Saccharomyces cerevisiae S288C: one gene and its partners. Each later gene encodes a partner of the first gene's protein in a complex. Each region holds a gene or a part of one and is shown in the gene's direction. Other genes may lie near its edges.

What was found.
Region 2: ORC4 (region 1) and ORC2 share a complex: the UniProt entries of both Saccharomyces cerevisiae proteins name them as parts of the origin recognition complex.
Region 3: ORC4 (region 1) and ORC3 share a complex: the UniProt entries of both Saccharomyces cerevisiae proteins name them as parts of the origin recognition complex.

What each region holds. Positions count from the first base shown.
Region 1 is NC_001148.4:861,722-872,927, reverse strand, and holds ORC4 (origin recognition complex subunit 4), read left to right. Parts: upstream 1-4,623; coding exon 4,624-6,213; downstream 6,214-11,206. Other genes in the region: MMS1 (Mms1p), read right to left, coding at 1-2,225; TIF3 (Tif3p), read left to right, coding at 2,973-4,283; cyclin-dependent serine/threonine protein kinase SGV1, read left to right, coding at 6,506-8,479; GPH1 (glycogen phosphorylase), read right to left, coding at 8,914-11,206. UniProt on the Saccharomyces cerevisiae protein: Component of the origin recognition complex (ORC) that binds origins of replication. It has a role in both chromosomal replication and mating type transcriptional silencing. Binds to the ARS consensus sequence (ACS) of origins of replication.
Region 2 is NC_001134.8:357,014-368,219, reverse strand, and holds ORC2 (origin recognition complex subunit 2), read left to right. Parts: upstream 1-5,705; coding exon 5,706-7,568; downstream 7,569-11,206. Other genes in the region: CNM1 (Cnm1p), read left to right, coding at 36-1,250; YBR062C (uncharacterized protein), read left to right, coding at 1,620-1,635, 1,718-2,244; tRNA methyltransferase TRM7, read left to right, coding at 2,501-3,433; serine/threonine protein kinase AKL1, read left to right, coding at 8,033-11,206. UniProt on the Saccharomyces cerevisiae protein: Component of the origin recognition complex (ORC) that binds origins of replication. It has a role in both chromosomal replication and mating type transcriptional silencing. Binds to the ARS consensus sequence (ACS) of origins of replication.
Region 3 is NC_001144.5:138,936-150,141, forward strand, and holds ORC3 (origin recognition complex subunit 3), read left to right. Parts: upstream 1-2,137; coding exon 2,138-3,988; downstream 3,989-11,206. Other genes in the region: SPO75 (Spo75p), read right to left, coding at 1-1,611; SFI1 (Sfi1p), read left to right, coding at 4,266-7,106; H3 histone acetyltransferase RTT109, read left to right, coding at 7,356-8,666; dynamin-related GTPase DNM1, read left to right, coding at 8,955-11,206. UniProt on the Saccharomyces cerevisiae protein: Component of the origin recognition complex (ORC) that binds origins of replication. It has a role in both chromosomal replication and mating type transcriptional silencing. Binds to the ARS consensus sequence (ACS) of origins of replication.

The sequences.
Region 1 (11,206 bases):
CCAGACTCATCAACAGCGTCTATATTTTCAATATAAGAGACACAGCCAAGCCCAGCATTCCAAACTATTAAAATACCATCATTGTATGTAACGTTTTCGAATTCCCAACCTGGAGAAATCTTACGCAACTCTTTGTCCCCACCAATGGGATCGATGTATATCGTATCCCTAGTTACTTGAATCAAGTTATTTTTCGTAAAATTTAGAAGGATAGTTTCGTTTTCAGTATCACATAGTAAATCTTCTATATTTATCAGTCCTTGAACGGGATCATCATTATCGATTGTCGTTGTCATAGTTAAATCTAATAAAAATATTCTGTTGTTAGAAACAGCGTCGGTCGCAAAAATTAACGAACTTTCGGTATTTGACTGGTTTATTCCAAGTCTCTGTAACAGAGCAATATCAAGGTTCTTACATTTCCATATCCTAAGATGTCTAAAAATTTGAAATTGCTTTAAGTGGATAAGTTGATGAGTTTTCCTGAGTTTATAATCAATGCAAGGTTGAGTTATTGCATTTGGTGAGGTAAGCCAAACTTGAGAATTTCTCGTGTCATTGATGTTAGAGCCTGTGTGTGTGTTATAAAATTTAGAAGACGTAAATGCTAAAATTTGAGAGTTCTCCTCTGTGGAACTATCAATTGTGTGCTTGAAGGTGATATTTTTCAAAGGCTTAATAACGTCTTTTTTATCTAAACATCTCAAATCTTCTAGAGATAATGTTAGCTCTAATGTTCTACTAAAACTTATGACCACCAGTACATAACTTGAGGATCTGGAGTCTAAATTTATCGGATTTGAAGGTAGTGGTGAAATGGATTTCAATCCTTTGAACCTAGTTAGCTCGTAAAATTTTAAATTACCATTTACTATTGTCGATCGTTCGGTGACGCAAAAACAAATATTTCCTGTCGAGGAGGATATTATGGTACAATATTGGAATTTTTTAAATGTATGTGGGTGTAGTTCTTGTAATTTTAATAACAATAAAGGAGCTGGAAAAAATGACTTGATTCCCTTGAGAGCCTTCAATTGGAATGAGTGGAATTCAGTCTCTCCTGACATAATTTGATTTGCAGAAACTAAAGAGAACTTTAGGGGTGTTTCGACTAAACATGCATTTAGTCCAATGGGTATTGTCATATTAGTCTTCTCACCATCAAATACTGTCAATTGATATACCTCTTTTTTCTTTATTTCGTTGTTGTTCCATTCTATGACAAAGTAGACTATCCTTTCATATCTTATGGCTGTTATAAATATAATGAAATAGGGATCTAAATCAGTGTAATTTGTTGGGAAAAAGGATCCGTTCATAATCACGGAATCGGTCAATGTTAAATTGTTTACTAATTGAAAAGTAAATGGTAAATGGAATTCAAAAAATTTGCAAATGCCTAGTTCCTTATGTATAAGAACAAACTGCTTCTCGTTTTGGTGCTTGATTATGTTCCACTGACCTTTTTGTCCCAGGTTCCAATATTGTAGCAAATATGTCTCTTTACCGTCATCAAGCGGTAAAATAGACAATAAGTGACCACTTGGTTGAGTGAGTAATATTAAAATTGCAACGTTGTTGGGTTTTATAGCTATGCTGCCAGATATGCCAGACTGTATGTATGTTATTGAAGTGCTACCTGTTTGAAAGATTCCATTGTTGGATACTATTAAACTGAAATGCTTTTGTTGGATTTCTTCCAGCGCCTGCAATTCAATTTTTGGTTCTTTAACATTACCGCTGTCACTGCTCATTTCTATGTCATCCAATGCTTCTATATCTGAATCATCTAAGGTTTCTGGGTTTTTATCAATGTCAAAAAGACTACCTATTAGTGTGTTATACTTTTGAGGGAAGCCGTCTGACAGTTCAGAACGTTCTTGCAAAATGTATTTTAATACTGGTTTAAAATTTATCGGACTTGAGATTGGATAACAAAATTGAGGCATTTGACCAATATTCGAATCGTGATATCTGAGCATCATCATTGATGGTTCTAGCTTTGGCCCTACACAAGGTCTCACCCAAGTTTCATCCTCGGTATTTTGATAAAAAAGCTCAGGTTCATTCCACTCACGTGTGGTGCTTGAATCAATTAATAAATTGGGGGAAACTCGGAATGACTTATGATTCAACCAATCTTGCAGCTCAAGTTTGCCAAAATCCGACGGGCGACGAATATAATGTTCATACCTGTCTAAACCATGAGTTCGCAAACCTAGCATACCTAATTGACACCGTACTACTTTAATTAGACCCAGAAACGAAACGGAATGTGAAGCGATTTCTTCTCTTCTTCCAATTCTTTTGCAGAGCCCATCTCTGGCAAAGGGCCATTTGTTGGAAATCACTCTAACATGGCTTCTGTTTCCCGATAATATGCGGGTAATGCCTCGCACTTCCTTTGGTTTTGAATTTATGCTATTCTCTTTCTTTGCACATCTAACTTGAAGTGATTAGTACCAGATTGAGCTCAGCTTCTCAAAATTATTTCGAACATATCAATTTAGTTTGTAAGTCATAAAAATCGATATTTTTTGCTTTTTCCTTTTTTCCTAAATCTTCTTGACTGCTTGCAATCTTTGTATCTTCATCTTTCCTTTCTCATGTTTCCAAATTTAGCCTGTATATTCATAGAGACTTCTTAAAGTAAATTTTGGCAGGATAATAGGGTACTGAAATCTATGTTGCTTTTTATATCCTGGCGCTACTTAGCCGCCCAACCTTTTTGTCTTCTTGTCTTTTTTTCTTTTTGGCTTTATTTCTCATCAGATCACGCACCACGGAATGAAAATTTTTTTGCGGAAATCAGCATCGCTAAAGAAAAGCAGAAATAGAAGCAGAAGAGATAGATATAACTACAGAGTTAGAGAAGATCAGTAGACCAATAAGCGGGATTATCATAAAACTCGAGTTTATATTAGCTTTCATCTGTCTTTAGGAAAATAATACCATAATAAAAAGGACACATCATGGCTCCACCAAAGAAAACCGTAAAGAAGATGGACCTTACGTCATTTTTAAATGATGACACCTTTGGTTCATCTTGGGCTGAAGAAGATGTCGATTTGAATAAGATCACAATTCCTATTGAAACCGCTAATGCAAACACTATTCCATTGTCCGAATTGGCTCATGCTAAAAACAACAGCAATAACACGCGTTCAGGCGGCTTTGGTGGCAGTTTTGGAGGTAGATCTAGATTAGACCCTGCTTTGGGGGGCGGTTCTTCCGATAGAAGAGAGGAATACCCTGTTCCAGATGCTCCACCATATAGGGCTGTCATAAACAACATTCCATGGGATATTACCCCAGAGGGTGTTCAAGCCTGGGTTGAAGATGGTTTAGTTAAGCCTGAAGCGGTTGAAGAAGTTGTTTTGCCAAAGAATCTAAGAGACCCAACAAGATTAAAGGGTAATGCTTTCGTTACTTTGAAAGAAAGAGCAGATTTGGTCGCCGTTCTGAAGTTCAACGGTACTAAATTGAATGAGAGAACTGTTTACGTTTCTGTTGCGGCTCCAAGAAGAGGGGGAGGTGCAGATGTTGATTGGAGTAGTGCTAGAGGCTCCAATTTCCAAGGTGATGGAAGAGAAGATGCACCAGATCTTGATTGGGGTGCCGCTAGAGGTTCTAACTTCAGAGGTCCAAGAAGAGAAAGAGAAGAAGTTGATATTGACTGGACTGCTGCAAGAGGTTCCAATTTCCAAGGCTCTTCCAGACCACCAAGAAGAGAAAGAGAAGAAGTTGATATCGACTGGAGCGCTGCAAGAGGCTCCAATTTCCAAGGCTCTTCCAGACCACCAAGAAGAGAAAGAGAAGAGCCAGATATTGACTGGAGTGCAGCTAGAGGCTCTAACTTTCAAAGCTCCTCGAGGCCACCAAGAAGAGAAAGAGAAGAGCCAGATATTGACTGGAGTGCAGCCAGAGGTTCCAACTTCCAAAGCTCCTCAAGACCACCAAGAAGAGAAAGAGAAAAGGAAGAACCAGCTTTGGATTGGGGTGCTGCCAGAGGTGCTCAGTTTGGTAAGCCTCAACAAACCAAAAATACCTACAAGGATAGGTCTCTAACTAACAAAAAGACTACTGATGAGCAACCAAAAATCCAGAAGTCTGTTTATGATGTTTTACGTACTGAAGATGATGATGAAGATGAAGAGGCTGAAAAGCAAAATGGAGACGCAAAAGAAAACAAAGTTGATGCGGCAGTTGAAAAGCTACAGGATAAAACTGCTCAATTGACTGTTGAAGATGGTGACAATTGGGAAGTTGTTGGTAAGAAATAGAGTGTTGTATGATGATAAAATGTACATTTGTATTTACTGTTTGCTTTTTTTCTTTCTTGTTTTTCTACTCTCCTTTCTACCAGGTATTCTAACTCTATTATATAATTAAAAAAAAAATAACCATATATTTTGTATTAAGTTTCATACATGTGTTCAAGTGTATTTTTGGATTTATCATTTTTCTATGTGAGGTAAGTTTTTGAATGTCCCATTTTCCTTTCGTTTTTGGAAAGTTCTAAGAAAAAGCATTAACAATTAAAAAAAAAAAAAAAATCTAAATAATACTGATAGAAATATCAAATATAAACTACTAATATCGGTAATATTCAAAAGAAGAAGCATGACTATAAGCGAAGCTCGTCTATCACCGCAAGTCAATCTTCTCCCAATAAAGAGGCACTCAAACGAAGAGGTAGAGGAGACTGCAGCGATTCTAAAAAAGCGTACTATAGATAATGAAAAGTGTAAAGACAGCGACCCTGGTTTTGGTTCCCTTCAAAGAAGGTTACTGCAGCAACTTTATGGCACACTTCCTACGGACGAAAAGATAATCTTCACATATTTACAAGATTGTCAACAAGAGATCGATAGAATCATTAAACAATCCATTATTCAGAAAGAGAGTCATTCAGTAATTCTCGTGGGGCCCAGACAAAGTTACAAAACATACTTATTAGACTATGAACTGTCTTTGTTGCAACAATCTTATAAAGAGCAGTTTATAACTATCAGGTTGAATGGGTTTATTCACTCCGAACAAACAGCTATTAACGGTATAGCAACTCAATTGGAACAGCAGTTGCAGAAAATTCATGGCAGTGAAGAAAAAATTGACGATACTTCATTAGAGACTATTAGCAGTGGTTCTTTGACAGAAGTGTTTGAGAAAATTCTTTTACTCTTAGATTCGACCACGAAGACAAGAAATGAAGATAGTGGTGAGGTTGACAGAGAGAGTATAACAAAGATAACAGTTGTTTTTATATTCGATGAAATTGATACATTTGCTGGGCCTGTGAGGCAAACTTTATTATACAATCTTTTTGACATGGTAGAACATTCTCGGGTACCTGTTTGCATTTTTGGCTGCACAACGAAATTAAATATCTTGGAATATTTAGAAAAGAGGGTAAAGAGTAGATTTTCTCAAAGAGTGATTTATATGCCGCAAATACAGAATCTAGACGATATGGTTGACGCCGTCAGAAATTTACTTACAGTTCGCTCTGAAATCTCCCCCTGGGTTTCACAATGGAATGAAACGTTGGAAAAAGAACTATCCGACCCTCGATCGAATTTGAATAGACATATTAGGATGAATTTCGAAACCTTTAGGTCATTACCTACATTGAAAAATAGCATAATTCCATTAGTAGCGACATCCAAAAATTTTGGTTCACTCTGCACTGCCATAAAATCGTGTTCTTTTCTTGACATATACAATAAGAACCAACTATCTAATAATTTAACAGGAAGGCTCCAATCTTTATCCGATTTAGAGTTAGCCATTTTGATCTCAGCCGCTAGGGTTGCCTTAAGGGCGAAAGACGGATCTTTTAATTTTAATTTAGCTTATGCAGAGTATGAAAAGATGATTAAAGCTATCAACTCCAGAATTCCCACCGTGGCTCCTACTACAAATGTGGGAACAGGTCAAAGTACTTTTTCTATCGACAATACTATCAAACTATGGTTGAAAAAGGACGTCAAGAACGTTTGGGAAAATTTAGTGCAACTGGATTTTTTTACCGAGAAATCAGCCGTTGGTTTGAGAGATAATGCGACCGCAGCATTTTACGCTAGCAATTATCAATTTCAGGGCACCATGATCCCGTTTGACTTGAGAAGTTACCAGATGCAGATCATTCTTCAGGAATTAAGAAGAATTATCCCCAAATCTAATATGTACTACTCCTGGACACAACTGTGAATCTTGGGAACAATATACAGACATTTTATTGGCGGTAGCAACTCTGATATTCCACTGTTCAGCTTTCCTAATAAGTAAGTTCAAGATTATGTGGTCATCGCGTCGAACGGAAATACACCCATACACCAAACCTCTGTGAATTTGAAAAATTCACATATGCATTTAATAGAGCATAGGCAATGTAGAGAGAGAAATTAACAATGGTGAAAAGAAATATTACCAAACACCAGCAAAAGAAATTGTATAGTATTAGCAGTACATTCGTGGTCAAGCAGAATAACAGTAAAATAATATGAGTGATAATGGTTCCCCCGCGGTTCTTCCAAAAACCGAATTTAATAAATACAAAATCGGCAAAGTGAAGAGTACACCAGCCATCCAGCGAGATGCGAAGACTAACTTAACATACATCAAACTAAGAAAAAGAAGTAGTGAGAAAGTTTACGGGTGTACAGTTTTCCAGAATCATTATCGTGAGGATGAAAAATTAGGACAAGGAACATTTGGTGAGGTTTATAAGGGAATTCATTTAGAGACTCAAAGACAAGTGGCAATGAAAAAAATTATAGTTAGCGTTGAAAAAGATCTGTTTCCTATAACTGCACAACGAGAAATTACTATTTTAAAGCGTTTAAACCACAAAAATATTATTAAACTAATCGAAATGGTGTATGACCATTCACCGGATATTACAAATGCGGCATCCAGCAACCTACATAAGTCATTCTACATGATCCTGCCGTATATGGTAGCAGATCTGTCGGGCGTTTTGCATAATCCGAGAATCAACTTAGAGATGTGCGATATAAAGAATATGATGCTACAAATATTAGAAGGCCTAAATTATATTCATTGTGCAAAATTCATGCATAGGGATATAAAGACAGCAAATATTTTGATTGACCACAACGGTGTTTTAAAGCTTGCTGATTTTGGTTTAGCAAGATTATATTATGGCTGTCCTCCAAACTTAAAGTATCCTGGTGGTGCAGGTTCCGGCGCCAAATATACATCAGTAGTCGTAACGAGATGGTATAGAGCACCTGAGTTGGTGCTTGGTGATAAACAGTATACAACAGCTGTTGATATATGGGGTGTCGGATGCGTTTTCGCAGAATTTTTTGAGAAAAAACCTATTTTACAGGGAAAAACGGATATTGATCAGGGACATGTTATTTTCAAACTACTTGGTACACCGACAGAAGAAGATTGGGCCGTGGCTAGATATTTGCCAGGTGCTGAACTAACAACAACTAATTACAAGCCAACGTTGAGGGAAAGATTTGGTAAATATCTAAGTGAAACAGGTCTAGATTTTTTAGGACAGTTGTTAGCGTTAGATCCTTACAAGAGGTTGACCGCTATGTCTGCTAAACACCATCCTTGGTTTAAAGAGGACCCTTTACCATCAGAGAAGATAACATTACCGACGGAAGAAAGTCATGAAGCTGATATTAAGAGGTACAAGGAAGAAATGCACCAATCATTGTCCCAAAGAGTACCTACTGCGCCAAGAGGTCATATAGTTGAAAAGGGTGAATCACCTGTCGTGAAAAATCTTGGGGCGATCCCAAGAGGCCCCAAGAAAGATGACGCAAGTTTTTTGCCTCCATCAAAGAACGTATTGGCTAAGCCGCCTCCTTCGAAAATAAGAGAACTACATCAAAATCCTAGACCGTATCATGTGAACAGCGGATATGCTAAAACTGCGATTCCACCGCCAGCAGCCCCTGCAGGAGTTAATAGATACGGACCCAACAATAGTTCCAGAAATAATCGCTTCAGCGGCAACAGCACTGCACCCAACAACAGCAGGAATCCCGTAAATCGATTTCATCCTGAGACAAATGTCAGCTCTAAATATAATAAAGTACCTTTGCCATTGGGGCCTCAGTCAAGATACCAGGGTAATTCAAATGAGTCCCGGTACAAAAACTCGCCAAATGACTCTAGATATCATAACCCTAGGTACGTGAACAAGCCGGAAACCAACTTCAATAGGCAACCACAGAAATATAGTCGCCAAGAATCCAATGCGCCAATCAATAAAAATTATAATCCTTCAAACGGTTCTCGCAATATGGCTGGTGATCATCATCAAGGCTCGAGACCTTCTCATCCACAATTCCCAATCTCGCCCTCACAGGGGCAGCATCAGCTTACGAGTAAACCAATAGAGAAAAAAAATGGAAGCTTTAAGGATGAAAGAGCGAAACCAGATGAGTCTAAGGAGTTCCAAAATAGTGATATTGCAGATCTATATTAGGTTATACTATTCTCTCTTCCTTTCTGGCCTCGTGGCTAATTACGGAAAGTTGTATACTGACTACTATGTAATCTATCACGTTTTGTCACTGTCTCGCTCTTTTCAAACAATCCATAAAATCGAAACTATTGTCAAAACGTCAGTACATCCTACCTGATAGGGACTGTACCAATGTCAACGTTCGAGTAAGTGATAATAAGGACCGCCTTACCCACCTTCAGGACACTCGGTTTTACACAAGCGTTATCCTGCGCGGATTTTCAATATGAAAACAACTAAGTTTTCCTGTAACATCATATATACCATTTAAAAGAGTGCCAAAAAACCGATAACGATTATTTTAAAGGCGTTTTATATAAGAGAAGAAGTAAAGAGAAAAAAGCGCTTACTAGAAATGGGGAGAAGGGTGCCAAAGAGATAAAAAAAACTCCCAGCTAAGTCACTGGTTCAACGTTCCAAATGGTATCGGAGTATTCCTCGATACAACGATCACTGCTAAAGAAGCCGACGTTTGCAACGCTCAGGACACTCTTTTTTAACCATTCTGACCTTTGATTGTGGAACTCCTGGTCCACTAATTCATGGGTGGCCAGATAGGATTCAAAGTCATCACTGACCAGGTAATAATCGCCGTGGTACTTAATACTGTCGACTAAAGGTTTGAATTCATTTGGATTTTCTGGAGAAAATTGTCCACTTTCAATGTAGGATAAAACAGAATCCAAACTAGATGGTAAATCTTGTGGATGGTATTGATGGTTGTATCTCAATTCTTCGACATTTTCACTTAGGTTACCAAACAAGAAGACATTATCTTCACCAATTTCCCTTGTGATTTCCACATTGGCACCATCAACAGTACCAATAATCAAACCACCGTTCATAACAAACTTCATATTAGAAGTACCAGACGCTTCAGTACCAGCAGTAGAAATATGCTCACTCAAGTCACTTGCTGGAATAATGATTTCAGCCTTAGAAACATTATAATCAGCAACAAAGACAACCTTCAACAAATGCTCAATTGACTCGTCGTTATTAACAATGTCAGCAACACAGTTGATCAATTTTATGATCAGCTTAGCCATGTAGTAACCAGGAGCACTCTTACCACCAAAGATTGAAACCTTGCGTGGATATTTCTTGGCAACTTCTTCGATCGAAGCACCGTTCTTCAGCATATTCTTCATTGCCAGGTAACGGTATATAATACCAAAGACGTTTAGCTGTTGACGCTTATATTCATGAATACGTTTAACTTGCATATCAAACAAGGTGTCGTCCAAATACTCTCTGTTAATGATGTCTACTCCATCATTTTCCTTTTTGATTAAATCTACTAATCTGATCTTATTATTAAGCTTGACTTGGTTCCATTTTTTCAAAAACTCCTTATCTTCAACATATTTTCCCAACTGGGTCAGTTTGGCCATGTCCAACAAATACTCCTCTGTTGGATCGTTAAGGGTTTCACTGATCAGTTTAGCCAATGAAGGGTTAGCTTGCTTCAACCATCTCCTTGGTGTGATACCGTTAGTGACATTGACAAACTTTGATGGACCATAGAACTTGACAAAATCTTTAAATATGGTCGTTTTGATTAATTCAGAGTGCAATTCAGCAACACCATTAACCTTGTGTGAACCAACAATAGCCAAAAAGGCCATTCTGATCTGTCTTTCTGGAGAGTTTTCTTCGATGATGGATATACGAGACAAAAGATCAACATCCTTGGGGAATTTTTTGGCCACATCTTGCAAGAAGAACCAGTTGATATCATATATAATTTCCAAATGTCTGGGTAGCAAATGGCCAAAGAGGCCGACGGGCCATTTTTCCAGGGCCTCTTGCATAACAGTGTGGTTAGTATAAGCAAAAGTCTTGGTCACGATGTCCCAAGCCTCGTGCCAATCTAGTTTTTCTAGATCGACCAAAACTCTCTGTAATTCAACGATGGCTAAAGTTGGATGAGTATCATTCAACTGAATAGCCACTTGGTCAGGAAATTCAGTCCATGGCCTCTTGGATTTTTTGAATCTTCTTAAGATGTCGTGTAAGGATGCAGCACACCAGAAGTACTGCTGTTTCAACCTCAACTCCTTACCTTGAGCAAAGTTATCGTTTGGATACAACACAGCGGTTATAGACTCTGCGCGTTGTTGCTGAGCCACAGAGTTTTTATAGTCACCATTATTGAATTTTGCAAAATCAAATTCTGTTGTTGGCCTTGCTTGCCATAGTCTTAAGTTATTTACATTGGAAGTCTTGAAACCCGGAACTGGGAAATCATACGCGACAGCAAGAACTCTTTCCCCACCGATCCATTGTGACGCACTCAGTGTAGTTTTACCGCCTTCTGGTCTATCAACATAACCATAAAAGGTGACAGGAATTTGCACTTCGTTACGTTCAATTTCCCATGGATTACCAGAATTTAACCAGTAATCTGGAGTTTCCACCTGGTAACCGTCAATAATCTTTTGAGCAAAGATACCATACTCATAACGTAGACCATAACCCCAGGCAGGGATGCCTTCCGTTGCCATTGAGTCGACGAAGCAAGCTGCAAGACGACCTAGACCACCATTACCTAAACCTGCGTCCGGTTCTTGGTCCAAGACATCCTCTAACTTGAAACCTAAATCATCCAAAGCCCCTTTAATCATTTCTCTTGGTTTTCCCTTTGAGGCAGCAGGGTCTTCCGGATCTTCAATCTTCATATTAATC
Region 2 (11,206 bases), on another chromosome or scaffold:
CTCTTTTTTTTCCAATATCGATAAAAAACTAAAATATGGAGGAACTAGGTTTAAAAAGCACTTTTCCATATGAATATGGCTCAGACTTTACAATGATAAGAACGGAAATGTTAAATACTACGAAGAGCGAAACAACTATTTTATTTTCCAATATAAAGAGCATTTTGGCCATTATTTGGAAATACTCATTTACATTTTTAAGATCTTTTTCCGATTCCATCAAACTTATTATTGACGATGTTGTCACTATTGGCTCCCGAAATTTTGCAGAGAGATTACAGATTGAAGCGAAAAAAAACAATGACCAAGAAGATATCTGGGCATCCACAATAATTTTGGGTGTGATTATCGGGTATTTAATCTCTTCTATTAAGAGAAAGAACACTTTTCCAATAATGCCTACGAGCTCACCTAAAATAGATGATTGTAGGTTCAAGACTGGTGATACCATATCCATTGTAATAAACTTTAATGAAGACTGCCTCAATAATCGAAGTGACGTTACCGAAGAGAGAAATTATGAGGAATCCACAGTTTTACATTCAAAGGAGTCAGTTCTCAGCATTGGTAGGCAAAATATGGTAACTTTGAACCAAAGCGATGAAAATTTCACCTATGGCAATTTTGATGAGTACGACTTATTAACTAAAGATTATACAACAGAGGTCTTAACGCGATCACCTGGCTCGAATCCCGAGTTTAAAGCAGTGGTAAATAATACATTACTTGATAGCGCGAATGAAACGCCGTTTAAAGGTATTGAAAAAAGTATTAACGAAACAATGGTTAAAGTTCCTATGGGATGCGATGTATCTCTCTCCCATTATGGCAGACAATACGCGCCTGGAAATATTTCAATTATGAGAAGCTTCACTGCTCGAGATAATACTAAATCTGTGAGTAGAGAAATTCGTGATATCTGTAAATCGTTTTTGATTATAAAAAGCCAATTTGGTGACGAACTTTTCCTGACTATGTTCATGGAAAAACCAGTTTTCTTTGATAACAACATCCCAATTGAAATAACTGGAGCATACCGAGAAAAACGAGAGCGATTAGATGAAGTGATTCATAAGGATCTTATCCGCTATGATGAAGTTCAAAATTTGACAAGGATTCGCAATTTGCTCCGGGTTAAAAGTCAAAAGATTTGTTCCAGGAGACATAATAGTTCGGTTCCCACAAAAAAATTGTTAGTTAATGATAAAGGCGCAACTTCGATTCTACTGTGGTACTCTAACTATTCATAGATAAAGTTTATTTGATACATAATCCGGAAAATGTAAGATATGCCAACTGTTAACTAGAAAACATCTGTACTCTATATATCGGAAACAAAAACTTTACGGGTACAACCATGATGAATAAGCTCGAAATTTTTGCCTTCCATATGAGTCCCATTTTGGTGACCAACTCTCCTACCCGAATTACTGTGATGATATATACTCTTCGTTTTCTAGTAATGGCTTCATTTTGCCTAAGTTGGTCAAAATTGTTGTGGGCGGCTTTTGTTTGCACCGAGGAGCGCTCAGTTCGTTATAATACCAGTTTTGCCACTCCTAAACTACTAAAGAAATAATAGAAAGATATATTCATCAAACATAATCACAATCAAAAAAATGTCTACATATGAAGGTATGTAATGATATATTATGAAGTAAGTTCCCCAAAGCCAATTAACTAACCGAATTTTAATCTGCACTCATCATTAGATTAGAGGAACATGGAATACAACAAAACTCAAGGGATTACCAAGAAGTAGGAGGAACTTCACAGGAGGAGCAGAGAAGACAGGTCAGATCCCAACTGCAAGGTCTATTTCAAAACTTTGGTAACACCAGTGGTGAGGGTGATGCACATTCAGATTCAACACTACTTTTACGATTATTATCGCAAATGCTTCCAGAATCATTACAGGAAGAATGGTTGCAAGAAATGGATAAAGGCAAGAGTGCGGGCTGTCCTGATACTTTTGCAGCCTCTTTACCACGAATCAATAAAAAAAAGCTCAAAGCAACTGACAACTGCTCCATTTGTTACACTAATTATTTAGAAGATGAGTACCCCTTAGTAGTTGAATTACCTCATTGCCATCATAAGTTCGACTTAGAGTGTTTGTCTGTCTGGCTATCTCGAAGTACAACATGTCCATTATGCAGAGATAATGTTATGGGCCACCGAATCATTAATGAGATTGATACAACTGAAGCAGAACTGGAAGAAGATTGGGGTATGTACGGTTAATATCTTTCTTTTATATTATATAAAGACACCAAACCTAAGTAGAATAGGTAACTACGTCTTCTTTCACAGAAGACAGACCTACAAGTATTTTGATTATCATGATGAAGTAAAAGCAACGATAAACTTTTTACTAGGTATTATTATTCTGCGCTAACAATAATTATCGCGAGTTGAAAATTTTCAAGCGATGCTCCTAACATTACTGTAAAACAACAGTAGATGAGTACAAGGCAAGCTTAAAAAGAAAGTATTCAAGATGGGTAAGAGCAGCAAAGATAAAAGAGATTTGTACTATAGAAAAGCAAAAGAGCAGGGCTATAGGGCTAGATCTGCTTTCAAACTACTTCAACTCAATGACCAATTTCATTTCCTGGATGATCCAAACTTAAAAAGAGTTGTAGATTTGTGTGCAGCACCAGGTTCATGGTCACAAGTGCTCTCGAGAAAACTGTTTGATGAAAGTCCCAGTTCAGATAAGGAGGACAGGAAAATTGTCTCTGTCGATTTACAACCGATGTCCCCCATACCTCATGTGACAACGTTGCAAGCCGATATCACTCATCCTAAAACATTGGCGAGGATTCTAAAACTGTTTGGCAACGAAAAGGCCGATTTTGTTTGTAGTGATGGTGCACCTGATGTTACTGGGTTACACGATCTTGACGAATACGTGCAACAACAGTTAATTATGAGTGCGCTGCAACTTACTGCATGCATTCTGAAAAAAGGTGGAACTTTTGTGGCAAAGATCTTCAGAGGTCGTGATATAGATATGCTATATTCCCAATTGGGCTATCTATTCGATAAAATCGTTTGCGCAAAGCCAAGATCATCAAGAGGTACATCTCTGGAAGCTTTTATTGTTTGTTTAGGCTATAACCCACCATCCAATTGGACACCAAAATTAGATGTAAATACATCCGTTGATGAATTTTTTCAAGGCTGTTTTTTGAATAAATTGTGTATATCAGACAAATTGTCTCATTGGAATGAAGAGGAGAGAAACATAGCCGAATTTATGGCTTGTGGAAGTCTTCAAAGTTTCGACTCAGATGCCACTTATCATGACCTACCTTCTTCGGTTGCAGGCACTTCATCGTCCTTAGATCCTGTTCAAAGCCCGACGAACCCTCCCTACAAGAAAGCTTTGGAATTAAAAAGGAGCGGGAAACTCACTAGATCAGTTTGATTGCAATATTACTACCTCTAATCAAACAATTAAATAAGTCACTACATTATAAGATTATCTACAAAATCAACTTTTCCTTGCAATCATTAAAAACGATATAGGTTACGGTTATGTAGAATATCCATTGTATAATATAAAAGAAAATGAAACAGTAATTATATTATATTATATTACATGCAAGCATTGAGGAGTATGGCAATCATTTTTCTTCTTTTTTACTTCACCTCGTCTCTTAAAACATCTGCTTTCGAATTTGCGAGTAATAGAACTTTCGAATTGTGACAGAACCATTGAGAACATGGTGAATCTGTCAATATTACAACCCAAAAGCCGGTTGGTGGTAAACCGTAGTACGGAGCATTACAAAGGATTCCATCGTATAAATTATGCATAAGCATCACCTTGATCCATTTGCCTTGCTCCTATTGCCCTGCTTGTTTGTAGGAAAGCCCCTTTTGGTCAAACGAATTGTTCAGTTCGGGTTTACGCATTACATATCTCCTTTTTAGATACAAAAACCTCGAAACGCTCACATAAACCCGGTTGTTCTTTTGAGTACCTGGCCAATGGAGACATAGCTTGGGGTTAAGTAAAAGTGAAAGTCAGGTTGATACATGTGCCTTTTATTCCACCGAAGAAAGCTTATCCAACATAAGAGCATTATTTAATGGGCTTTCCAATTTATTATTGGCATACACTTCTTTCAAAAATTCGCCGGTCTCAACGGCAGCAAGTGCTCAGCAGATGGAAATTATACGTTAATACTTTTTCCAATGTGATATAACGAAAAATTAGATACTGTGAATTGTGTTTGCCACCTTGATGTTGACTTAGTATTTCCTCTCGGTTGTAAAAGCCAAGAAGGTTTGACTGTTCGTCAATTAAGGTTCTTACGTGGGTTGTGCTAGATACGACGCGAATCAGTATGGTTTCTATCTGCCAATCATATCGGTTCTCTTCCATGGGCTAGAACAGATGAATTCTAGCTCTTTTTTAGCTGGACCAGTAAGGTTCAAATGGTATTTGATAATAGAGAATCACATATCTCCTTGTCCATTTCTGAAAGTATTAATTCAGTCATATCCAACTAGTCACAAACATCCGCATAGGCTTGATAAAACTCACAAGTGGCAGATTCCGAATTATGTGTCATATTGGGGTCATATTAGGACCTTCATTTCAGAATTGCTTCTGCTCCAATAAACTTTTTTTGATCCAAAAATCGTCTGATATAACGGGCGATGTCAATTGAATAATAAAACGGGTTCTATCTATTTTCTTGATCTTTGAAACCAAAACAGTTAGCAGGCAAGTGCAAACAAGTTGTCAATTGCACTCTGTTAACGAAAAAAATATATCTCATCTCCGCCGGTCTTCTTTGGTGGATATATATTACTCCTCCTTAAAGGTCATGCTCCTTTTTATGGGTTCTCGTCGTAATAATCCTGAAATTGTAAAATAATTTAGAGCTCAACACCACCATTGAGAACGTAGAATTTCAATTTTTAAGCTGATTCTCTTTCTGCATGAACTCTCCTAGCAATGTGAAACTTCTCTTAAGGGAAATTTTCGCCTTTTTGAATGGGCATACTTGGCCAAAAATTCAGGATTGAATATATATAATCGGAACTTGTATGGATAAAAATTTATATCAAGAGTCTGTTTCTTAATTGGATTTGCTGTGATCTAGTATTGAGATGACTATAAACCGGCCAGGAAATTAGTCTTTTCGAAGCTGGTTTTGGTTTCGCAAGAGTCTTTTTGACAGCTTTTTGGCCTCAATTTGTATTCCCTTAATACGCTTCTTCAACTCTGTCTTAGAGACCATTTCTCCAGTGGCCTCATCTAGGTGTAAACTAGCAATAGCGTCACTAGCTGCCGTGACATTAACTTGCTGTGGCACCTTTATATGTAATATGAACCATCTTTCAATGGATCATAAGAATAAGTGTCGTAAAAGGCCAAATATCCATGCATAAATATCGACTTATTCGCGTAAATGTGATATGGATCAGCTAGTACCAATTTCTAGTCTAGCAAAATCGGGAAAATTTTTCAGAACACCCACTCACCGCATCATTGAGGTGGAAATGACAATAGTAAGCAGAATTGTTATTCTTCACAATGTGTAAAAGTTATAAAGAAATAGGAACCACCTTTAAATTAAGACAAAGTAGAATATATTAGCTGAAATTGTATTTGATAATTGATCATTGATCTTATTTGCTATATCTTTAAAACAAGTTTTTGTAGTACTGCGAATTGCCATAACATGCTAAATGGGGAAGACTTTGTAGAGCATAATGATATCCTATCGTCTCCGGCAAAAAGCAGGAATGTAACCCCAAAAAGGGTTGACCCACATGGAGAAAGACAACTGAGAAGAATTCATTCATCAAAGAAGAATTTGTTGGAAAGAATCTCGCTTGTAGGCAACGAAAGGAAAAATACATCTCCAGATCCGGCACTCAAACCTAAAACGCCAAGTAAAGCTCCCCGTAAACGTGGAAGACCAAGAAAGATACAGGAAGAATTAACTGATAGGATCAAGAAGGATGAGAAAGATACAATTTCCTCTAAGAAAAAGAGGAAATTGGACAAAGATACATCAGGTAATGTCAATGAGGAAAGCAAGACTTCTAACAACAAGCAGGTGATGGAAAAGACGGGGATAAAAGAGAAAAGAGAACGCGAAAAAATACAGGTAGCGACCACAACATATGAAGATAATGTGACTCCACAAACTGATGATAATTTTGTATCAAATTCACCCGAGCCACCAGAACCTGCAACACCATCTAAGAAGTCTTTAACCACTAATCATGATTTTACTTCGCCCCTAAAGCAAATTATAATGAATAATTTAAAAGAATATAAAGACTCAACCTCCCCAGGTAAATTAACCTTGAGTAGAAATTTTACTCCAACCCCTGTACCGAAAAATAAAAAGCTCTACCAAACTTCGGAAACCAAGTCAGCAAGCTCGTTTTTGGATACTTTTGAAGGATATTTCGACCAAAGAAAAATTGTCAGAACTAATGCGAAGTCAAGGCACACCATGTCAATGGCACCTGACGTTACCAGAGAAGAGTTTTCCCTAGTATCAAACTTTTTCAACGAAAATTTTCAAAAACGTCCCAGGCAAAAGTTATTTGAAATTCAGAAAAAAATGTTTCCCCAGTATTGGTTTGAATTGACTCAAGGATTCTCCTTATTATTTTATGGTGTAGGTTCGAAACGTAATTTTTTGGAAGAGTTTGCCATTGACTACTTGTCTCCGAAAATCGCGTACTCGCAACTGGCTTATGAGAATGAATTACAACAAAACAAACCTGTAAATTCCATCCCATGCCTTATTTTAAATGGTTACAACCCTAGCTGTAACTATCGTGACGTCTTCAAAGAGATTACCGATCTTTTGGTCCCCGCTGAGTTGACAAGAAGCGAAACTAAGTACTGGGGCAATCATGTGATTTTGCAGATCCAAAAGATGATTGATTTCTACAAAAATCAACCTTTAGATATCAAATTAATACTTGTAGTGCATAATCTGGATGGTCCTAGCATAAGGAAAAACACTTTTCAGACGATGCTAAGCTTCCTCTCCGTCATCAGACAAATCGCCATAGTCGCCTCTACAGACCACATTTACGCTCCGCTCCTCTGGGACAACATGAAGGCCCAAAACTACAACTTTGTCTTTCATGATATTTCGAATTTTGAACCGTCGACAGTCGAGTCTACGTTCCAAGATGTGATGAAGATGGGTAAAAGCGATACCAGCAGTGGTGCTGAAGGTGCGAAATACGTCTTACAATCACTTACTGTGAACTCCAAGAAGATGTATAAGTTGCTTATTGAAACACAAATGCAGAATATGGGGAATCTATCCGCTAACACAGGTCCTAAGCGTGGTACTCAAAGAACTGGAGTAGAACTTAAACTTTTCAACCATCTCTGTGCCGCTGATTTTATTGCTTCTAATGAGATAGCTCTAAGGTCGATGCTTAGAGAATTCATAGAACATAAAATGGCCAACATAACTAAGAACAATTCTGGAATGGAAATTATTTGGGTACCCTACACGTATGCGGAACTTGAAAAACTTCTGAAAACCGTTTTAAATACTCTATAAATGTATACATATCACGAACAATTGTAATAGTACTAGGCTTGCTAGCTTTGCTTTCCCATAACCAACAATACTTAGTGATGTATCTTAAAACGACTAAAAAACTTCTCATATAACCCTACTGAAAAACGTCTGATGAGCTCTTCGAAAATTCAGACGAGTTATGACCTATATTTGTTTTTCATTTTTTTTAGGTGAACCCCGCCATTCTGAAAATGCCCTATTCAGAGCTCAATAACCGAAAAAACTTAAAAATACTGAATAAAAGCCATAATCCTATGAACCCCCTTTCTTGAATGAGTAAATTCAATAGCATTGTTGAATCAGAATCGGTGCCTCGGGAGCATAAGCAACACAGGACATCATAGAGATAATTTTAGTTGCCATTCATTTTTTGCTATTACGTTTTCCCAAGCTCTTGTTTTCGTCCCTGTCGCCTGTTATTTTCTTTCTAATTAGCACTGATCATGTCGATCACGAATGGTACTTCTAGAAGCGTTTCGGCAATGGGCCATCCGGCGGTAGAGAGGTACACTCCAGGCCATATTGTCTGCGTAGGCACACATAAAGTTGAAGTGGTAAATTATTTAGCAGAAGGTGGCTTTGCTCAAATTTACGTGGTGAAATTCCTAGAGTATCTTAATGAATTTGATAATACAGCAAGTGTTCCCTTAAAGATTGGCGATGTCGCATGTCTGAAAAGAGTATTAGTTCAAGATGAGAATGGATTGAACGAGATGAGAAATGAAGTGGAGGTAATGAAGAAATTGAAAGGGGCCCCAAATATAGTACAATACTTCGATTCCAACGCCTCTCGCCGTCGTGATGGCGTTCAAGGATTTGAGGTTCTTTTGCTAATGGAATTGTGTCCAAACAAATCTTTGCTAGATTATATGAACCAACGATTGTCAACGAAACTGACAGAAGCTGAAATTGTGAAAATTATGTATGACGTTGCTCTTTCTATCTCTCAAATGCACTACCTTCCTGTGTCCTTGATCCATCGCGATATCAAGATTGAAAATGTCTTGGTAGATGCCAAAAACAATTTCAAGCTAGCTGATTTTGGGTCCACGTCGACATGTTTCCCAATTGTCACTACTCATCAAGATATTGCTCTTTTGACTCAAAACATCTATGTGCATACTACTCCGCAGTATAGGTCCCCTGAAATGATTGACCTTTACAGATGTCTGCCCATTAACGAAAAATCAGACATATGGGCTTTGGGAGTTTTCCTTTACAAATTATTATTTTTCACCACCCCTTTTGAAATGACAGGTCAATTTGCTATATTACATTCCAAATATGAATTTCCTGTCAACAAATATTCATCAAAACTAATCAACTTAATCATTATCATGTTGGCGGAAAACCCAAATTTGAGACCGAACATTTATCAAGTATTATACCATTTATGTGAGATTTTAAATGTGGAAGTTCCAATCGAGGATAAGTATGCGGAAGGTGCCTATAATTTTTCTAAATATACGCAGTTTCAGAATAAATTACAAAATGTTCAATTGCAAATGTACCAGCTACAACAAAAGAAAATTATGCAGAACAATAAATTGAGTGACTCAGAAGAAAACTTACTGAATGACATGTTTCTTTCTTCTTTTGAAATCTCATCCAAACTTCCCATGAACGCTAGTGACGGTCATGCCGCTGTTTCTAGAATACCATCTCAAAATGTCGGCCAAGAACTTGAAGAAGAGAAAGAAAGTCAATCCGATCAGAGGAAGTCTACCCTGTCCGAAGATAAATCGTCAAGAACAACATCGAATGCTAACAGTTCTGGTACAGCCAATAATCCTCAAGAAATCAATACAATCCAGTCTCCAGGTATAGAGGACAAATCAATTTTTGAAAATAAAACTCCTGGAGAGTTATATTATCCAAGCGTGAGCGAATTAGATACTTATTTGGACAAAGAATTGGTCAAACAATCAAGTGATCCGACTATTTCTGAACAAAGTCCTCGTTTGAATACCCAATCACTACCACAGAGGCAAAAGAGCACAAGCTCTTATTCTTCAGGTGGCAGATCAATGAAGAGCACATCATATGGTGCAGCAACGATCGGGTCAGACGAAGCCTTGGCGAACGAGAAAACTGCTGGTATTAATAAGATGAAACAACATAAATCGAATAATCCCTTTCCAAAAATGAATGTTGCATACCATTCTACGAATGAATTGAGCAATGACGCAAGTAACTTTTTCCTGGAAGAACAACAGCAAGGCCAGAGATATCAGCAAGCTCAAAATCAAACAGGTACACAAGGGAATACCTTTCCAGATGAATCTCAGTATCAATCTAGAGTTGAACAACAGCAGCAACAACAGGACCAACCCAAAGGACCTGCTAATTATAGCCAAAGAAATTTCTACACTGGGAGGGATCGGTCCAATAAACCTATGCAGTTGGGTGGAACTATTGCTGGAGATAGTGGTAATAGAAGAGTCAACTTTCAGAATATTTCTCAAAATTACGCCACGAACTCCCAGTCAGGATATCTCCCAAGTCAAAATTCCCCAGCAATTCCAATGGTGAGACCTGTTATTTCCATGAATCAGCAGCAAGCGCAACAGATACAAGCCCAGCAATTGCAGGCACAACAGATGCAGGCAAAGCAACAGATGCAAGCCAAGCAGCAGATGCAAGTTCAGCAACAACTGCAAGTCCAACAGCAAATGCAAATTCAAAATGCAAATAATAATGGTACTTACGTCTCTGATAGAACAAATCATACCACAGAAGATATGAGAAATGCTCAGGGGGGTGAACCTCCAATTCTTGCAGGAAATTCTGCAAATGAACCAATGCACTCATCCTCTAAAAATGAAGCTCTCTTAATTGAACTATCTCCATTAAAAGAAGATGCAGGAAAGCAATCTTTCCAAGATACAAATGAGCCTCAAACTGGCGGTATCGAAGATGCCGGCGGTTCAGGAACTATCAAAGGCTCGAACAATAATCGAAATGGCGTTTTAAATTTAAGTTTGAATGAGATGGACTTATCAAGAGATGATACTGGTGCTGCTGTCTCCTCCTTTTCATCGTCTTCATCGTCTGCATCAATTCAACAAGCTAAGCTTTCTGGACGCAAAGGTTCCAGTAAGAGGAACAATTATTCAACAGACGAATTGGGAGATAGTATGGTCTCCAGCGAAAGCATTGATATTGATTTGGATGATGCAAGGAGAGGAAAAACAGCTGAAAGAAGACCACTCCATAATGAAAGAGGTCATAAAGACCAGGCAAGATCAAGTGATGCTAGTAAGTCTAATCAATTCAAAAGCAAGGACTTCAGCAGCGTATCAACAAGGCAACCGCGGCAGTCATTGGATCTGAATTTCCAGGAAGTAAATCTGTCTTCACCAACGTTAACTCAAGAGCATAGAAATAAAAACGACTCGCCAGCACCAAATTCACATCACTCGTATAGAGTTTCACCTCATGCTTCCACCGCAATAACTGAGAATAAGCGCCACAGTACTGGTCACGAACTGTCAACCCGGTCAAATGGCAAGCATGAAACACACAGGACTGGTTCCAAGCAAAGGCACGATTTGGAAAGATACCGGCATTCGAAGGATAAGGATAGCAATAGCAGCATTACTATTAGCACCTCAACT
Region 3 (11,206 bases), on another chromosome or scaffold:
TATTATTATTAAGGTTACTATTGGAATCAAATTCTTTGCCACTTCTCTTATAAATGGAGATTGGAAATGAATTATTTTTGTAAACGGTATTAGTGAGGAAATATTTGGTATTTGTGATATTAACCCAAGGAACGCGACAGGCAAAATCCAGCCTATAATCACAAAAATTCGCAATATATTTGCCGAGAAATATTTGGCACTTTTCCAAAGGGGTGATGAATCGAGGATATTTCTCCAAATAATGTCATTAACATTGGGGCCTATTATTACTTTTAAATTTTGGGTGGGTAGTCTATACGAAAGCAACTCACCTATAACGTTTGACAATAATGTGGACTTGAAGGTAATGAACATCTTATCCATATAAATGTCTGTGCCCGACGATAAATCGTCGGGCAGTGCCTGCTTGGTTTCTGAAGTTGCTTTCAAGGAATTTACTTGGAATTTAATGAGTTTTTCCTTGCGTATTATTTTATCAAGGATTCTGTATTTCCTTTCTAATATTGTTTCTGTATTTACATACAGTTTAGGGTAATATAACGGAAAGATGCTTGACTTTTTCCAGCGCAGACGAATTTTTGTGCAATAGTATGAAATTCTAAATTGAGTTAAAAATACCAATTTTTTGTACTGAAATAATAGATGGTTTTTCAACTTTGAAAAGAAAAATCTTTTGTGATTTGCTATCAAATGCCTGTGTATTGAAACTCTTCTAAAATATTTCTCTAAAATAATCTCAAAGATAATTTGTTCTTTTGATTTTTGTAATTTATTTAACTTTATTTCTAATTTGTGGACTTTCTTCAAATTTTTTGGAATGAAATGCGTCACGCCAAAGCAATCACTGTGTAGCGGCTGAAAAAAAGTTTCTAAAGAAATACTTTGGGTAACCAATTTACTTGAGAATCCTTCCAAATATAGAATGTTTTGGTATTTACTTTTCGTCAAAACGGAATATCCTAGTCGATTAACGAACCTCAGTTCCGAAGAAAGAATGAAGTGAAACCAGAGTACAACAAAGATACTCAAAAACAAGTGACAGATTAAAGTATTCGATGAATTAGGTGATAGATTTGACATGGTCCACTTGTCAAGTTTACTTGTCGTCCTGAAACTTTGCTCATAACGTTCACCTTCATTTTCTTTCAAAATATCCCTGGAAAAATAATGGATTGGAATTAGTATTGGAATGTTGATAATTGATAACACTGCAAAAAAGAATATCAAAAGTTTGAGAAACCGTAAAAATAGATAATTGTCTAGGCCATACCTTTCGTTTCGTTCGAATTTTTCCATAGGATCTAACATTCTTCCGGGAAGTTGCTTGAGAAATGCAAATAATGACCAATAATTTTTTATTTTTTTCTTAGCAAAACAAACTTTAGAACCTGGATGGATTTTCAGAACGACATTGGCCTGATATATAGTCTTGAATCTTGATCTTAAAATAATAAAGAGTGACAGCTGAAATAAAAAGTACAAAAAAGAAAACAATATACCAGATATGAACCCTTTTAGTGAGATTCCAGCATGTCTTTGCGCAGATCCAAATCTTTCTTTGTCTTGAAATTTATTCAGTAAATTAAAAGTCAGTTCTTTAGTAGCATTCATCTTCTTGGTAAGTCTTTTTCTTGTTTTTGAAAAAGAGTTCCTGAAGTTTGTCTACTGTGAATATACTTTGCACATTTGTTTAATTTTTAAACACGCTATAATTTGTGTCATAAAGAATTTTTTGTAGAATAGCTTTTTTTTTAATAGGAAAAAAAAATAAAAAAAGGTGGAAAAGACAATCTTTTCCAGAAACTTGAAACTATACTGGAGATGAAGGGTTGTCGTTGGTTGCGTTACGAGACAGGCTTGACAATTTCACAAGAGTAATGTTTCATTACCTGCTGTTTTATTATCTTTATATTTAGTAAGACCAGCAGAAACGCTACACGTGATGATAATGGAACTAAGCATTCTGTTAGATGGTAAGAATTTTTTTTACCTTCCATTACCACTAACGCCTTTTTTAGTGTCTTTTTGATATTTACTGACGTATTTTTCCGCACCGTAATTTGAAGAAAAAGAAAAGTGACAAAAGATGGCATTGTTTACATACAGAGTCGTAGTATCACAAGAGTAGTCCAACAGGATGAGCGACCTTAACCAATCCAAAAAGATGAACGTCAGCGAGTTTGCTGACGCCCAAAGGAGCCACTATACAGTATACCCCAGTTTGCCTCAAAGTAACAAAAATGATAAACACATTCCCTTTGTCAAACTTCTATCAGGCAAAGAATCGGAAGTGAACGTGGAAAAAAGATGGGAATTGTATCATCAGTTACATTCCCACTTTCATGATCAAGTAGATCATATTATCGATAATATTGAAGCAGACTTGAAAGCAGAGATTTCAGACCTTTTATATAGTGAAACTACTCAGAAAAGGCGATGCTTTAACACTATTTTCCTATTAGGTTCAGATAGTACGACAAAAATTGAACTTAAAGACGAATCTTCTCGCTACAACGTTTTGATTGAATTGACTCCGAAAGAATCTCCGAATGTAAGAATGATGCTTCGTAGGTCTATGTACAAACTTTACAGCGCAGCTGATGCAGAAGAACATCCAACTATCAAGTATGAAGACATTAACGATGAAGATGGCGATTTTACCGAGCAAAACAATGATGTATCATACGATCTGTCACTTGTGGAAAACTTCAAAAGGCTTTTTGGAAAAGACTTAGCAATGGTATTTAATTTTAAAGATGTAGATTCTATTAACTTCAACACATTGGATAACTTCATAATTCTATTGAAAAGTGCCTTCAAGTATGACCATGTTAAAATAAGTTTAATCTTTAATATTAATACAAACTTGTCAAATATTGAGAAAAATTTGAGACAATCAACCATACGACTTCTGAAGAGAAATTATCATAAACTAGACGTGTCGAGTAATAAAGGATTTAAGTACGGAAACCAAATCTTTCAAAGCTTTTTGGATACGGTTGATGGCAAACTAAATCTTTCAGATCGTTTTGTGGAATTCATTCTCAGCAAGATGGCAAATAATACTAATCACAACTTACAATTATTGACGAAGATGCTGGATTATTCGTTGATGTCGTACTTTTTCCAGAATGCCTTTTCAGTATTCATTGACCCTGTAAATGTTGATTTTTTGAACGACGACTACTTAAAAATACTGAGCAGATGTCCTACATTCATGTTCTTTGTCGAAGGTCTTATAAAGCAGCATGCTCCTGCTGACGAAATTCTTTCATTATTGACAAACAAAAACAGAGGCCTAGAAGAGTTTTTTGTTGAGTTTTTGGTAAGAGAGAACCCGATTAACGGGCATGCTAAGTTTGTTGCTCGATTCCTCGAAGAAGAATTGAATATAACCAATTTTAATCTGATAGAATTATATCATAATTTGCTTATTGGCAAACTAGACTCCTATCTAGATCGTTGGTCAGCATGTAAAGAGTATAAGGATCGGCTTCATTTTGAACCCATTGATACAATTTTTCAAGAGCTATTTACTTTGGACAACAGAAGTGGATTACTTACCCAGTCGATTTTCCCTTCTTACAAGTCAAATATCGAAGATAACTTACTAAGTTGGGAGCAGGTGCTGCCTTCGCTTGATAAAGAAAATTATGATACTCTTTCTGGAGATTTGGATAAAATAATGGCTCCGGTACTGGGTCAGCTATTCAAGCTTTATCGTGAGGCGAATATGACTATCAACATTTACGATTTCTACATTGCGTTCAGAGAAACATTACCAAAAGAGGAAATATTAAATTTCATAAGAAAAGATCCCTCCAACACCAAACTCTTAGAACTAGCAGAAACACCGGACGCATTTGACAAAGTAGCACTAATTTTATTCATGCAAGCAATCTTCGCCTTTGAAAACATGGGTCTCATTAAGTTTCAAAGCACCAAGAGTTACGATCTGGTAGAAAAATGTGTCTGGAGAGGAATTTAGATAAAGAATGCACGGATAAATAAGTAAATAAATAACCATACATATATAGAACCATAGAACCACGTTTTTGTAATGAACAGTCTACCTGTATCTCATCATTTTTCTGTGTTAACTATTATTATTATTATTATCGAATGGAGGGTAATATTATGTATAGGTAAAATAAATAGATAGTGCCATGATGCGCGAAGATTGGCAATGGGAAACTCAAGAAGGCAGCAACAAAAAAATAAAGGTGGCCTATTAATCACAATCTATTGCCTATATGTGCTAGGTTATGGGCAAATTCGGCACGACAAATAAATCAACGGAGAATCTTCTGCGTGATAAATTCGTACCCGAGACATCTCCAACTAATATTCCCACTGATGTACTCATCAAGCAAGGGCAAATAACGGATTCCACCGAATCACTAATTCATGGAGGCGCAGAAAGGTATATTGTTAACGCTTTAAAGCCTATAGAATTAAATAAAACTGAAGGCTTTTTCGAAGACCCGCCGTTCCATCTTCCTTCTCCACCGGTTGATTCGACAAATCTGGAGTATGAAGACGTTACCGATCTTCCTAAGAATGGTTTACGATATGATTTGAATGATATATCCGTTGAGGTAATCGAAGATTTATACCGCCAGATTGAAGCTTTTTTGGTTCATTTCAAACTATCCAGAAGTTTTTTACAAATTTTCAAAAACTATGTCAATATTCTTATTCAAGAAGGCATCAATCCTTTACGCGATGAGTACTTCACAATATTGGAAGATGAACTGAAAGGTTTTTTCACTTTCAATTCTGTTATAGAAGAGATTTTAGAAATATTTTTAATCCACCCTCGCAACAAATTCATTGCATTGTCCCTTGCAGAATATACCTACGCTAAGAACAAAATCAGAAGACATTTTAATCACTGGAAGACTGTATGTGAATTGAATGAAGAGGCAAACAGGTTTGCAAATCAAGCAAAGCTGAGGGTACAGGAAGCCGTCTTCTATATTTGGAGTGATAAAACATTAAAATACTCACAGATGGCCAACGATGAAGCTGAAAGTTTTAGGAATACTTGGCTACTATTTCGCTCGTTCCAACAATGGATAACTTTAACACAAACTCTTAAGGAGCAGTCAAGGTTAGCAGATCAGGCCTTTTTGAATAAGATGTTTAGGAAAATTTTAAAGGCACAAGAGCATTGGAAACACTTAGAAACTGTTAACACTGACAACATTAAGAAGATATTTTTACGAACAACATTTCATATATGGAAGCTAAGACATAAAGAAATAAACTACCACGGGTTGGAAAGAAGGATTTTCGAAAGAATAAAACAGAAAGTTATAAACTATGAATACAATAAGAGCATTGCAGAAAAAGTGAGGTCGTTTTCTCTACAAAGAAAATATCTGAATAAATGGGAAAAGAAAAACATTGAAAACGAAGATAAACTTGGGGCACTTTATGAACTGGAGAATAAATTCATCAAACAAAAGTTTTTTCGCAAATTAAACCGGTCATTTCAACATAGTCAACAAGAGGCAATTGCAAAGAGTAAACTAAATCAGACACTTTTGAGGTGCGTTTTTGAGAAGATGTGGCTGAAAAGATTCGAAGACCATCTGCATTTGTATTCAATTGTAAGTCTAAAAGAGGCTAACCTCGTGAAGCGTATTTTTCATTCATGGAAAAAACTTCTATATATTGACCTCAAAGCAAGCGATTATTCGAGGACTAATTTGCTCAAGTCATCATTGCGAAGTTGGAAACTTGAAGTAAAGTTAAAAATATTTGAGCAGAAATGTAAAAAGAGTATTCAAGCAAGCGCGTATCGTACATGGAGGAAAAGAATACAGTATGGGAAAATATCGAGCGAACATGTTAAAACGGCATTTTGTGCAAAATATCTTGGTGTGTGGAAAAGGAGGATGCTACAAATGAATTCTATGAATGACGAAGCATCCAAATTTTACGAAGAGGGTCTCGTAAATGAGTGTCTAGCTATATGGAAAGAACGCCTGATTAAAACTAAGGAATTGGAGGATAGATACAATTTCTTATGTAAGACACATGCAATTTTGACTGTAAAACGGACGCTAATGCATATTGATAATGTTCATTTGCTATATACGAAACTGGCGCCCTCTATGGATAGAGTAAAGCTTTCTAAGGCCTTTTTAAAGTGGCGGAAAGCCACAAGGTTCAAAGTCAGGCATAAGTTAAACGATATTTTACACGTTTATGAAAAGAGTAAAGAGCGCGAACTTCAAAGCCAACTGTTCAACGCTTGGCGAAATAGATTTTGCTTCTACACAGAAGAATGTAACATTCAGGCTATTTCAAAGAGAAACTACCAGCTTGAAAAAATGGTGCTGAAGAAATTTAGAGAAAGACTTTTAGAGATAGTAAAATCAGAAGAATTAGCAGACGAAGTTCGCGAAGAATTTGTGTTAGTCAAGACGTTTTATATTTGGAAAACTCATCTAGACGAAATATTTTATATGAGTACATTATTGGAACAATCGGAAGCTAATAAACAATTCATAATTACATCCAAATTCTTGAAAATGTGGAGTCTTCGATTCCTAAAAATTAAGCGTAATGATGAGACAGTCGAGGTGTTTCGTCATCGGTGGGACAGGGCCACTGTAAGGGGATTGTTATTATTATGGAAAAATCGTTCAGACAGTTCTCCAAAGAGAAGGAAGGACTTCAATCTTAAACATGAACTAAAAACTCCCATAAGATCAGACTCTCAAAACGCCTCAACCATACCAGGCTCAGAAAGAATAAAGCAGCACAGAATGGAAGCGATGAAGTCGCATTATAGCAGGGCAAGAAGAGCCATACCAAGTCCGGTGAAATCTTCCAGTGTTCTTGATTCTACAGCTAAAAAACAGATCAACCTTGAAAGTACGACAGGCTTAAACGGATCTCCGACGCGAGGAAAACCTCTAAGGTATTCTCCTAGGCGTACCACTAGAAACATGCCATCCAAAGTTGACCATATTGATTTTGGCAGAATACCCGCTGTACCTTTTAGCCTAAGCGCCAATTCTCCTAAAATCGATCAAGATATGGATTATATAAGAGAGCATGATAAATCCCCGTTAAGTCGTAAACGTCAATAGATATATATATTATGTACGTATGTATGTGTGCATATGTAGTCGTAACCTTTCTTGCTTCTGAGATGCATACAATTACTAATAATATTCTCCAGGTCTATGAAAACATCACAACATACTATACTTTTCGTGTTCGCGTTGTAAGCTATAATGGAAAATGGACGCCATAACGCATTACTTAACAAACTACAGTTTGTCAATAGAGTTGTCCAGTAGAGTTAAAAGGTCAATTCAACCGGTCTTCAATAAGACATGTCACTGAATGACTTCCTAAGTTCCGTGCTACCTGTCAGTGAACAATTTGAATACTTATCGTTGCAATCTATTCCGTTAGAAACCCATGCTGTCGTAACCCCAAATAAGGACGACAAAAGGGTCCCAAAAAGCACGATCAAGACTCAACACTTCTTTAGTCTATTTCACCAAGGAAAAGTTTTTTTTTCATTAGAAGTGTATGTGTATGTCACGCTTTGGGATGAAGCAGATGCCGAACGGTTAATATTTGTATCAAAGGCAGACACTAATGGTTATTGTAATACGAGGGTAAGCGTTAGAGATATTACAAAAATAATATTAGAATTTATATTATCAATCGACCCGAATTACTATCTTCAAAAAGTAAAACCGGCAATAAGATCATATAAGAAGATATCCCCCGAGCTGATTAGCGCAGCCAGTACGCCAGCAAGAACTTTAAGGATTTTGGCTAGAAGGCTTAAACAGTCAGGCAGCACCGTTTTGAAAGAAATAGAATCTCCACGTTTTCAACAAGATCTTTATCTCTCATTCACCTGTCCTCGTGAGATTTTGACCAAAATTTGTTTATTTACTAGACCTGCATCCCAGTACCTCTTCCCAGATTCTTCAAAAAACAGCAAAAAGCATATACTAAATGGCGAGGAACTAATGAAATGGTGGGGCTTTATTTTGGATAGATTACTAATTGAATGCTTTCAAAATGATACACAAGCAAAATTAAGGATACCGGGCGAAGATCCTGCTCGAGTAAGATCATACCTAAGAGGGATGAAATATCCACTATGGCAAGTGGGTGATATATTTACCTCTAAAGAAAATTCTCTTGCGGTATATAATATTCCATTATTCCCAGACGATCCTAAGGCTAGATTTATACACCAATTGGCAGAGGAAGATCGCCTCCTCAAAGTAAGCTTATCATCCTTCTGGATTGAACTACAAGAGCGTCAAGAGTTCAAATTAAGTGTCACATCATCTGTAATGGGTATTTCGGGATACTCTCTTGCCACTCCATCTTTATTTCCATCTAGTGCCGATGTTATTGTACCGAAGTCAAGGAAGCAGTTTAGGGCAATCAAGAAGTACATTACTGGAGAGGAATACGATACAGAGGAAGGCGCAATAGAAGCTTTCACCAATATTCGTGATTTTCTATTGCTCAGAATGGCAACAAATCTTCAATCTTTAACAGGGAAGAGGGAGCATCGGGAGAGAAATCAGCCGGTTCCTGCAAGCAACATCAACACGTTGGCGATAACAATGCTAAAACCGCGTAAAAAAGCTAAAGCCTTGCCTAAAACTTGATACATATTGATATTTATTATTTAGTACACGTATGTAGCATCGATCTTAGAAAATGCATGTTTGTATTTATTGTTAGTACCTTGATCGCCACCTTTCTAGGTAATGATAGGTCCTCAACTTTTACTACGCGGTGCACGCCTGTAAGGTCGGGCAAAACAAAGTGTGGGAACAATAAATAAGAGGGTAGGATGAAATATTACCTTTACTCTACTGCTCAGGTTGGCCACAATTTGCTAAAGAGTTTATCATTAAGTAGCTACCAGCGAATCTAAATACGACGGATAAAGAATGGCTAGTTTAGAAGATCTTATTCCTACTGTCAACAAGCTGCAGGATGTTATGTACGACTCCGGGATCGATACACTCGATTTGCCCATTTTAGCTGTTGTTGGGTCACAATCCTCCGGGAAATCCTCGATATTGGAAACGTTAGTTGGAAGAGATTTTTTACCTAGGGGTACTGGTATTGTCACAAGAAGACCGTTAGTTCTTCAACTTAATAACATATCTCCAAATTCTCCTCTAATAGAGGAAGATGATAACTCAGTTAATCCACATGATGAAGTTACAAAAATATCAGGATTCGAAGCTGGTACGAAGCCCTTGGAGTATAGGGGCAAGGAAAGAAATCATGCAGATGAGTGGGGGGAATTCCTGCATATACCAGGAAAACGGTTTTATGATTTCGACGATATCAAAAGAGAAATCGAAAACGAAACAGCGAGGATAGCCGGTAAGGATAAGGGCATCAGTAAGATTCCGATTAATTTGAAAGTGTTTTCCCCTCATGTTTTGAATCTAACGCTAGTAGATTTGCCTGGGATTACAAAGGTTCCTATTGGGGAACAACCACCTGATATTGAAAAGCAAATCAAGAATTTGATCCTAGACTATATAGCCACTCCAAATTGTTTAATCTTGGCCGTCTCTCCAGCTAACGTTGATCTTGTTAATTCTGAATCCTTAAAGTTGGCCAGAGAGGTAGACCCTCAGGGCAAAAGGACTATTGGTGTCATTACCAAATTAGATTTGATGGATTCTGGGACTAATGCTCTAGATATCTTGTCTGGAAAAATGTATCCTCTGAAATTGGGGTTTGTTGGTGTAGTGAATCGCTCGCAACAGGATATTCAATTGAACAAAACCGTTGAAGAATCATTGGACAAAGAAGAGGACTATTTCAGGAAACATCCAGTCTACAGAACTATTTCAACAAAGTGTGGTACGCGTTATTTAGCTAAATTGCTAAACCAGACATTATTAAGCCACATTAGAGACAAGCTTCCGGATATTAAAACCAAGTTAAATACCCTGATCTCTCAAACCGAACAAGAGCTCGCTAGATACGGTGGCGTAGGAGCTACTACTAATGAAAGCAGAGCTAGCCTTGTTCTTCAACTAATGAATAAGTTTTCTACAAACTTCATTTCATCTATAGATGGTACATCCTCCGACATTAATACGAAGGAACTCTGTGGTGGTGCCCGTATTTATTACATTTACAATAATGTTTTTGGGAATTCTTTGAAGTCGATTGATCCAACTTCTAATTTATCCGTTCTTGATGTTAGAACAGCGATTAGAAATTCTACTGGTCCCCGTCCTACATTATTTGTACCTGAGTTGGCTTTTGACCTATTGGTTAAACCTCAAATTAAACTTTTACTAGAACCATCTCAACGTTGCGTCGAGTTAGTTTACGAGGAGCTGATGAAAATATGCCATAAATGTGGCTCCGCTGAGCTAGCTAGATATCCTAAATTGAAGAGTATGTTAATAGAAGTTATAAGCGAACTACTTAGAGAAAGGTTACAACCTACTCGCTCTTACGTTGAAAGCTTGATTGACATACATCGAGCCTACATCAATACTAATCATCCTAATTTTTTAAGTGCAACAGAAGCAATGGATGACATCATGAAAACGCGTAGAAAACGGAATCAAGAGTTATTGAAAAGTAAGTTGTCTCAACAGGAGAATGGACAAACCAACGGTATTAATGGTACTTCATCTATCTCTTCGAATATAGATCAAGATTCTGCTAAAAACAGTGACTACGATGATGATGGTATCGACGCAGAATCGAAGCAAACGAAGGACAAATTTTTAAATTATTTCTTTGGCAAGGATAAAAAGGGTCAACCTGTGTTCGATGCATCAGACAAGAAAAGATCCATTGCCGGTGATGGAAATATTGAAGATTTTAGAAATTTACAAATATCAGATTTTTCACTGGGCGATATAGATGACCTTGAAAACGCTGAACCTCCACTGACCGAGAGAGAAGAATTGGAGTGCGAATTAATTAAACGTCTGATTGTTTCATACTTTGATATTATAAGAGAAATGATTGAAGATCAAGTACCAAAGGCAGTTATGTGTTTACTCGTCAATTATTGTAAGGATTCTGTTCAAAACAGATTGGTAACCAAACTCTACAAAGAAACACTGTTTGAAGAACTTTTAGTTGAGGATCAAACTTTAGCTCAAGATAGAGAACTATGTGTGAAATCACTCGGAGTTTATAAAAAGGCTGCAAC